Linked DNA regions of Schizosaccharomyces pombe. The protein of the gene in region 1 interacts with the protein of each later gene in a biochemical or structural test. Each region holds a gene or a part of one and is shown in the gene's direction. Other genes may lie near its edges.

The links.
Region 2: the proteins of scm3 (region 1) and mis16 form a complex in vitro, tested with the Schizosaccharomyces pombe proteins (one study listed by BioGRID).

The regions. Positions count from the first base shown.
Region 1 is NC_003424.3:1,859,294-1,864,502, forward strand, and holds scm3 (CENP-A histone chaperone Scm3), read left to right. Parts: upstream 1-2,513; 5' UTR 2,514-2,640; coding exon 2,641-3,651; 3' UTR 3,652-3,839; downstream 3,840-5,209. Other genes in the region: cell surface adhesion protein for conjugation Mam3, read right to left, coding at 1-848; mRNA export receptor Nxt1, read left to right, coding at 4,070-4,088, 4,141-4,469; protein dpc13, read left to right, coding at 4,679-5,067, 5,122-5,164. UniProt on the Schizosaccharomyces pombe protein: Centromeric protein that plays a central role in the incorporation and maintenance of histone H3-like variant CENPA at centromeres.
Region 2 is NC_003421.2:582,583-587,142, forward strand, and holds mis16 (histone H4 chaperone, CENP-A recruiting complex CENP-A chaperone Mis16), read left to right. Parts: upstream 1-1,543; 5' UTR 1,544-1,552; coding exon 1,553-1,637; intron 1,638-1,709; coding exon 1,710-1,815; intron 1,816-1,887; exon of another isoform or gene 1,888-1,903; coding exon 1,904-3,005; 3' UTR 3,006-3,311; downstream 3,312-4,560. Other genes in the region: SPOM_SPCC1672.11C (P-type ATPase P5 type), read right to left, coding at 3,324-4,560. UniProt on the Schizosaccharomyces pombe protein: Regulatory subunit of the histone acetylase B (HAT-B) complex. The complex acetylates 'Lys-12' of histone H4 which is required for telomeric silencing.

The DNA.
Region 1 (5,209 bases):
GATGTTTCCACTAAATAGCTGGACGAGCTTGAAGCTGGAGAAGACAAAGTGGAGGGTGTTGCGGGGATATCAGTAGAAAAGGAAACAGTAGCTTCTGAAGTACTAACAGGAAGTGTACTCGAAGCAGTAGTTGAAGCTGCAATGTCTACGGATGAAGAAGTATATGCCGATTCGGTAGAAGTGATACTTACAGAAGTAAGTGTTTCCGAACTGCTAACAGCAGGGGAATTAACAGATGTAGTCAAAATCACTGTATTTGTGGATGAAGATGAGTCACTGGGTTCACTGGAAACATAACTAACAGAACTAGCTACTTTCGATGAAACGCTAGCTGATGGAGAAAATACGGGTGTTGATGAAGGGCTCATGGATAATGTGGAAATTTGAGAGCTAACAGCCGTACCAGTAGGTGAGTTGATAACAGATGAACTAGTACTAGAAGAAATGTCTACTGTAGAAGTGAAAGCTTGACCACAAGACAACGTAACATATTCTGTAACAGTTTGAACTCTGTCAACGTATTCCGTAACGGTGGAAGTAGGATTGGAAGAAGCTGCATTATTAGAATTGCCAACAGAGTCAATTAAGTCTTGAATGGAGGAGTTGGAAGACCCGATAACACCAATTATAGTAATGTACTTGGCATCTAAGGTACTTAGAATCTCAGAAGCAGAGGTTGAGTTATAGATATTGCCAACTTCGAGAGGGCTTGATTGGCAAGATTCTAAATTAGAAGATGAAATTAAACCTACTGACCGACTGACGTTAAAAGTGTCATCAAGTGCAGATGGGGATGCCCAGGAAAATCCTAGCAAAACGAGAATAAAGAAAGCCAAAGCAATCGACATGACGAATTATGGGAAGATCAAGCGATAAAAGAAAAATTATAATTAATAATGTTTTTCAAAGAAGAAGAAAAGAAAGTATTAAAAAGAAGCAAGACTCAAATCAAAAGATAGATAAAAAATTGAGAAATGCGATGCAATGCAATGAGAAGTTATTTCAAAATTCTACTAGTCTGAAAAAAACTAAAAAATGAAAAAGCAAAAGAGTGTCAAAAGGTAATGAGGAATAAGTAGACGAGCGAATGGCAAAATCAGAGAGGTTTCAAAAAAATCGAGTTAAGTGATCAAAATTCCTTGCTGAACCTATTTGTCAATTGCAATACTAGTACTAAAACAAAGTCTTCGTCGTTCCCTTCTTTTTTTTCTGATTGCAGTTTCTTATTCAGCTTGCTTTACGAAACCTTCAAATGTAATGACAAATATGGAGCTCTATGCGGTTTTTTATACTTAGGATCCATGGTGAAGGAATACAAAGAAATTCGAGTATTTGAACTATACAATGCTCAAACAATGGTGTAGTGTTTTAAAGAAAGTGCAATTATGGAGTAGTTGAAAGAGTTGCGCTGTACTCAACTTCCTTTGTTTCATCGGCATGCTGTGCTATTCAGGTAACGGGTACGTTTATTGTTGGAGGGGAATGAGTAATTCCTATTGTCATATTCCATATGGTGTAGTAATTCTTTTCATGTGAATGCTTCGGTAAAGAAATTGTTCAAAACAAGCATACCGTAAGAAACTGAAACATGAAACGACTCGGTTTTGCTTCAAGTTATAGAAGACTGTGTTCATGAGACTAAGTCACAAAGAGCCAAAAATAGTTTATTTTACAATACGTTCCCTATCGTGTCCAAATTGTTCTGTCGTTTTGTTTAACATTTCTATTGTTCTCGCTATTGTCTGTTTCACTTGGCACTTAGTAAGAATGCAAACAATGCCGAGATCAATTCATCCTTTGTTCTAATTATTTAGCGATGATTTCTCCAATTCTATGTTGTAATGGAATTGATAATAGTTACTAGTTGGTACAATAGACACTTTCTAAAAGAATTCTATTGAGGAGCTGCGCTACGTATCCTCATATTTACATGAATGAACAATCAAAATATGGCTAAACTTGTCGAACAGAACGCTTTCAACTAATACGAATTATTTGTGAAAGAAAGCCAAAGAATCGTCACGCTTCTTTGGGGCGATGTGACAAATGGAATGCTCAACTTATGGGATTTTTTTATTAAATTGTGCAAATGATGCAAAGTAATATTCACCAAAACGAGTATCCTTATTTTCTTTATTTTAGGTATCGTTGATTTCTCATTTTATCATTAAAAAAGTAATGTGGAATTGCTATGTTCGTTGGAATCCACAAGGTATCGCAGCGTTCGTTATTATTACAAAATTGTATGTCTATTAATTTTATGTATTTTAGAAATTCTTAAACAGTATAGAATTAGTGCAAGAACAGATAAATCAGTCTTTTGGAGCAATGAGTTAATTTACAAGCGTTAAGCGACCATCATTGAAATTACACTTTTGCATAAACTATTCAAAAGAACTTTTCATTATCTTTTTTTTTTGATCTCTAAGTTCTAACAGAAATTAAATCTAAAAGTCATTCGTGAATTAGTTACGAAACTCTAATACAAGTCTACAGTTATGGCACCGTTCACTAATAAACCACTACTGAAATCGCTTTCCTACTAATAACTGAAAATCTCCAATTTTTGCCTTAAGAAATTTATTGGAAAGGATTTTTTGAACAAAATTTCTCAATACCAAATGATTTTAACTTTCAATCATGTGCAATCGTCAACCGAAAGCCGTTGACCTGCCTCCAAACTATTCTTGTCCACATCTGTTGTCTTTTCAGTCTGTCGAATTTAATACTAATCCTACGGCTTGTGATGATGTGTTTTGTAAAAGAATTGAGTCCGAAAAGAAGTACAACGACTTTTTGGAATCTCTTTTCAAAAAATATGGACGCGACACTTCTGATATAGCTGATGAAGTAGATCTTGCAACTGGTGAAATTATTGTTAATAATGGACATCTAGAAGCTTTAAAAACAAAAGATGATATATGGGATCCTACATTTAACAACCTTGAAATCTCAGCGTCAAATGGATACGAAAAAAAATTAGACTCAAGCATTGGCAACCCAGGGGAAAAAGCTGTTTCACCAGTCCATATAGAGGATTTTCAGTCTCCCCAGATCTATAAATTTAAAAATCTATCACTTCGTGATGAAATGGTGTCAGATTGTGTGTTTGCAGATGAAGTTCCTTTAGCTTCACTTTTTGTGGAAAATGTTTGTAATGAAACTATACCCTCTCAGTCATGCGTGAGACTAAAAATCAATGATAAAACAAGAAAAGTTGATGCTTCAGCTTTGGAAAAAAAATCTTGTCTGTTGCCAAACTCATCAGGAACATTAACAGATCAGCGTGGTTTGGATACAATCAAGCATAAAAGCATAGAACAAAATGAGATTTTGCACGTCATCTCTGATACTTTATCTTCACCGAGAAGAAGGAACCCTTTATTATCATCTCCTAAAACTCCTTTACGTAGATCTTTTTCTAAGTCAAAAGTCCGAAACTCCAATTCTACAAAACGAAGAAACTTTATTTCATTAATTTCAATGATATCCCCTCGACCTAATCTTTCTACCCATCATTTTAATCTTGGTTTTCAACCTTTAAGTCAACAAACTTCGTTCTCAGGAAGTAGCACTCAGAACCCTCATTCTTCCAGCACTTGTAAAAAAGCATTTTGTTTCCAATGCATTTCTGAGTCAAAAAAATGTTGATTCAGCTTTAAACCACTTATTCTCCCATCTTCTTCGCTTGCCATACCATGGCTTTTAATGACCTATTTCTTCGAACATATATTTATTTTTTGTTTTCATTTACAACAAATTGTCTTTCGAGTTATCATGTTACATTCGAATATATATTTTTTTACTAATATATTAATCATTCGTTGAGTTTTTACGTGATCTATGCTTTTGTAGTATGGCAAATGAGTACACATAATTGTTCTCCACTCTTCATGTTATAAGTAAAAATCGTAGTCATAAAGATATCTAGCCGAAATATCCATTCAGTGTGTTGAACAAAGATTATCTTTAAATATCGCTTAATGAGTACAATATTTCAATTTATAACACATGTACCTGTTTAAATGACTACTTACACCACTACAAATTTCTGTCATTGTGAATCATTATGGAGTCGAGTGTAAAATGTATGTTAAATGCCGCATTACTAAAGCTTTATCTATAAACTAACAATTAAAGATGCGCAGGAGTTCGTCCAACGGTATTACTCATCTCTTGATACGAACAGAAATGGGATCGCAGAATTTTACAGAGAAAATAGTTTGATCTTATGGAATGGAAAACCCATGCAAGTAACCGAATTTACCTCTATGATAGTTAATCTTCCATACTCCAAAACTAAAGTTGAGGATTTCGATAGTCAACAGGTCATGGGTAATGATATGAATATCATAATTGTTGTTTCAGGAACAATACGTTTCGATGGAAAAAAACCTCATGTATTTTCGTATGTCAGTTTTTATTGTATTTACCTTCTTGTACTAAGATCCTCTACTAACTTCCTTTAAGAGACAATATAGTTCTACAACAGGAAGAATCAAAGTATTATATTGCCAGTCAAAATTTTAGAATTATGAGTGAATAATACGTATCCAAAACAAAGATTTCATTTCGTTTAGAGTTTGTATTAATTTGCCGCAGCAAGCTTATCTGAGCGACACATTCCCTAATCCCTCATACTTCTTTAGAACACAAAATTAACCACCACCTTACAAATATGAAATATTGGAAGTATTTGTCTCAGCTGACTATCAGAAGGCCTCTTACATACAACAATGCTCTTCTGTATAGGAATAGGTTTCCTAGTATATTAACATGGAAGAGAAGTGCGACTACGCAACCTGACGACACTATTTTCAAGGATCCAGTAATGGATGAGCAAGTCCAGAAACTTGAAGAGAAAATGAGTTCATTAGTTGTTAATGATCCGGAACTTGCTCAAAAGGTTGGCCGTCTTCGTCAGTTTTTTGAGAAATACGGCCTTGAAGCTGGTTCAAAACCGTCACCTCTTACTATCCTAAAGATTACTCGTGATCCGGAATTCAAGCAGTTAGCTGAAACTATCACGGAGATATTTAAAAAATCTGGAATTCAAAATGATCCTGCGTATGTTTTTTTGAATGTATTCCATTGATTGTGCGAACACTAACATATCTATAGATTTTTGGAACTTGTTCGAAGAAACCTTAAGAAAGAAAAGTAAAAATATGCCTCTGACATTTTTTTTATTCTTTGTTTGGCCTAATAA
Region 2 (4,560 bases), on another chromosome or scaffold:
ATTAAGGTGTATCCGACAACCAAGGTTTGGATGCTCGATTATGTAGGCAACACAAAAATTTACATGATATGGATAGATCTTTCATAGAAATACCTCTAAATTTTGATGAATTTACTTTAGCAAGAAAAAAAAAGAATGCAATGTTAAAAACTGTTACAATAATTATAAATATACAATGGGTACCAGAAGTCGCTATGAAAACATCTGAAGTAATAAGATTACGATCAACAACTCAAAACGTGCAAATATACTCCAATTATACTAAATTCCTCTCTTATAATTGATATACTGATATTAATTGCCTCCTCAAAATACTTAGCAAACGCAAGCATTATTCCAAAAAAAAGTCGAGACGAATAACGAGCTAGACCACTGTTGGCATGCATTTTAAGGCAATGCGGTATACAAATTCCTCAGTATATCAAAATAAATAACATTAGAAAGAAAGTACTCATCTGGGAATTTTTTTTTTTTAATTCACAACTATATTTAATAAATATTTTAAATTAAAATCAGTAAATTGCTATGATGAGGTTAAAAGAAATAAGAGACACGATTTGAATTGTACTGTTATCGAATAATTTATCAAGTTAGCATGTTAAAGTTTCCACGACAAGTACCCAAAAGTCTGACTACGTGCTATTAAAGCTAGCTAATCATATAAATTAAAATCAGCCAAAACTCATAGTCATTTCACAAGTTTCTCTTTTCAGCCATTGTTTACATATGAAATTTTACTTAGTCTCCAGAACATCGTTTCTAATACCCTAACCTAAGGTAAAAACCGTCACAACAAATTTACTATATATAGGGTCTGTTCAGTTGATGATTCACCATCATCAGTAGGTTTTAACTTACTTTGTTATATAAGTAAAGTAAAATCAATCCTGAAGTCAAGTATGATGGTTGGAGTCTCCGGACCAAGAAAATGCATCCGTTCCGTCTTCAGCGAAGAATTGAGTGGCTTTCCCGGTCGTTGACTTTTTTCCATGGGTCAAGGATGGGATTGTCTCCCAGACATTTTTAATTAAAAAAAGTTTATATTTGATTAGTTTAGATACGTACCCAAAGTTTGCAATACTACATGATTTGTTTAATAAATTTACGGTGTACTGTAAAACAATTCGTAGAGCCAACAGTATAAATATCCCATTGATGGCTGGGTTCAATAGTTTTATTTTTAGTGTAAATATAATGACAATCTGTTTATCAAAGTATACTGAGATTATAATATTTGTTTTTGCCAAATGGTTTTATAATTATTAGAGCATGATAAAGACGATGTTTGAGGAATTCTTCTCACTATGAATGTCTGTTTTCATGGAGACGTGGCATCAAGTAATGGTTTTTAGAGGCATGTTCAAATTTGTTTTCGCTCATTGAAACTTGTTTTCTATATCGCTGTTCATGAATTTTATTTTATTTTTTTTTTATTTCAGACTTAAGAGTGCGCTAGATTTATTTGGGCATCTTTAAATAATGTAAATTACTTATAACTCCAAAACTTTTAACTTGGCAATCTAGTTTGGGCCATTGTGTAGTTGCCCAAAACATGTCAGAGGAAGTAGTCCAGGATGCACCTCTCGAGAATAATGAACTCAATGCCGAGATAGACTTACAAAAAACAATACAAGAAGGTATGATTAAAGGGAATTCTTCATTAATATATATTATTATGCCGTAATTACTGACGATTATACTCGTTTCAGAATACAAACTTTGGAAACAAAATGTTCCCTTTCTGTATGACTTGGTAATAACCCACGCTTTGGAATGGCCTTCTTTGACAATTCAATGGCTTCCTGACAAAAAAACGTACGTTGCTTGCCAAAGTAGTTAGGCTATGATTATACTGGCCTTTACTTCAAACCATCTCATCAGTTTTCTAACTCGATTCTTGAAGAATACCAGGTACTGATTACTCTATTCAACGTCTTATTCTTGGCACTCACACATCTGGTAATGATCAAAATTATTTACAGATTGCTTCTGTGCAATTACCAAACTTTGATGAGGATACCACCGAGTTTACTCCTTCTACGATTCGAAGAGCACAGGCCACGGGCTCGTATACGATTGAAATTTCACAAAAAATCCCTCACGATGGCGATGTCAATCGTGCTCGTTACATGCCTCAAAAGCCTGAAATCATCGCTACCATGGGAGAAGGAGGAAATGCTTATATTTTTGATACAACTTGTCATGATGCCTTAACTACAGGTGAAGCACTTCCTCAAGCAGTTTTGAAGGGCCATACTGCTGAAGGTTTTGGTCTTTGCTGGAACCCGAATTTACCTGGAAATCTAGCAACAGGAGCAGAGGATCAAGTTATCTGTTTATGGGATGTTCAGACACAATCTTTTACTTCCTCTGAGACAAAAGTCATTTCCCCCATAGCCAAATATCATCGTCATACTGATATTGTTAACGATGTTCAATTTCATCCTCAACATGAGGCATTATTAGCATCGGTGTCGGATGATTGCACTTTGCAAATTCACGATACTCGGTTAAATCCAGAAGAAGAAGCTCCCAAAGTTATTCAGGCTCATTCTAAAGCCATAAATGCCGTTGCCATTAATCCCTTTAATGACTATCTTTTAGCAACAGCCAGTGCTGATAAAACAGTAGCTCTTTGGGACCTCCGTAATCCATATCAACGGTTGCATACCCTGGAAGGACACGAAGATGAGGTATATGGGTTAGAATGGTCACCTCATGATGAACCTATATTGGCATCCAGTTCAACTGATCGCCGTGTTTGTATTTGGGATTTAGAAAAGATTGGAGAGGAACAGACTCCGGAGGATGCCGAGGATGGTTCTCCAGAATTACTATTTATGCATGGAGGCCACACAAATCGCATCTCAGAATTTAGTTGGTGTCCAAACGAGCGTTGGGTGGTTGGAAGTCTTGCCGATGATAATATCCTTCAAATATGGAGCCCTTCTCGTGTCATTTGGGGTCGTGATCATGTTCAGGTTTCTCCTAGGGATCTGGAGTAAAGTTGGCCATAGAAAAAAACCCAAACTCACTTTTCCATCCTTCTACGCTTCATCTGTTTTTTGCAATATTCTTTACAATACAGAGTCATATGGTAATTGACTGCTCTCTTTTTTTCAGCTTTTGTATAATTTAAAACAAATGATCTTCGTCGCCTTGTAAATACATCAAAACTACTGTTATAAATCAGACTACATTTCTATAACACCAGAGATTAAATGTTTTGTTTGACCATGATAAAGTAAAAAGGATAGTAACTATTAATATTATACATAACAGCAAAAAAAATCTATTGAACAACAAAAGGGGGATAATATATCTCAAACTTGTTCATTTTGCAAGTCTGCGAATAGGCGTTTGTATAGTTTCTTCGAAACTTTCGTTCGGCGATTAAGTAAACGATTATTCAGGTGAGATATAAAATTGGTCATAGAAATGAAAATGTAATTTTGACCGCTGGCTGCGAGTAAATAATAAATAACACCAGCGAAGATCAAAAAGTTCTGGAAACTTTTGGACGTAGGCGTAAGTTGGAAAAGTTTCATAAAAAAGTTTTTATGATTTTGAAGTCGTATTAACTTAACGGTCAGGATCAACAAAACAACAACGACAGCTGTAAATGAATAGTTCCTCCAAACTTTTTCTCTGTAAGGAGGTCCTATGCTCAAAACCACTCCAATAAAAATATATTGGAAGCAAGAAATTAAAAACAGAGCAGTTACATCGCTATTTGTAATATTCGTATCTGAGCTATTCGCAGGTGGTGGTATATACCAGGGCTCTCTCCGTACTATCCTTAAGGTTATATATTGAATTATACAAATAAGGACGATTTGACCGATTAGAGGAGATAAAATACGTTTGGAAACCAAATTAGCGGTAGGTCTTTTGTGGGCCAAACGATGATAAGGTCGAGATCTCCCCATGAAAACCGCAATGGGAAGAATAATGACAAGATCAATAAACAAAAACTGGAAGTCTCCAAGATTTGAATTTGTTGTGTACAATATACTGACAGTGATAAATTGAATTGCAGAATACAAAGCCATATATTGGAAACAGCTAAAGCTTGTGACTAGAGCAGCTCGCCCATCTTTAATTACGTCAAGTACACAGGTAATCTCAAACCATTTACTAGTGAATGGAGCAGCAACTGACGCTTCTGCTTCAGAAAGAGATATTCCTACATCGGCTGCTTTCAAAGCACCACAATCATTCGCGCCATCTCCACAAAATCCGACACAATAGTTCAAATTTTGGAAACACGAGACAAGCTCATTCTTTTCCGATGGTGACATCCGAGCAAAAATCTGTGCTTTCAGTAAAATATGGTGAAAAACATTTAGAGGAGCATAATCAACTAACCAGCGAAACACATCACCAGTAAGTGCAATATGGAAATCCTTAAGTCTAGCAAGTTCTATAGAAACAGGCTCATGATCAGCGAAGTCAACATTCGGACGCAATGTATGAGGATCAAGAAATATTTCGTTATTTTCAATGGCCTGCCAAACTAGTTGACGAGATGCTTCATCCGCAGATTCACTCTCTTCATCA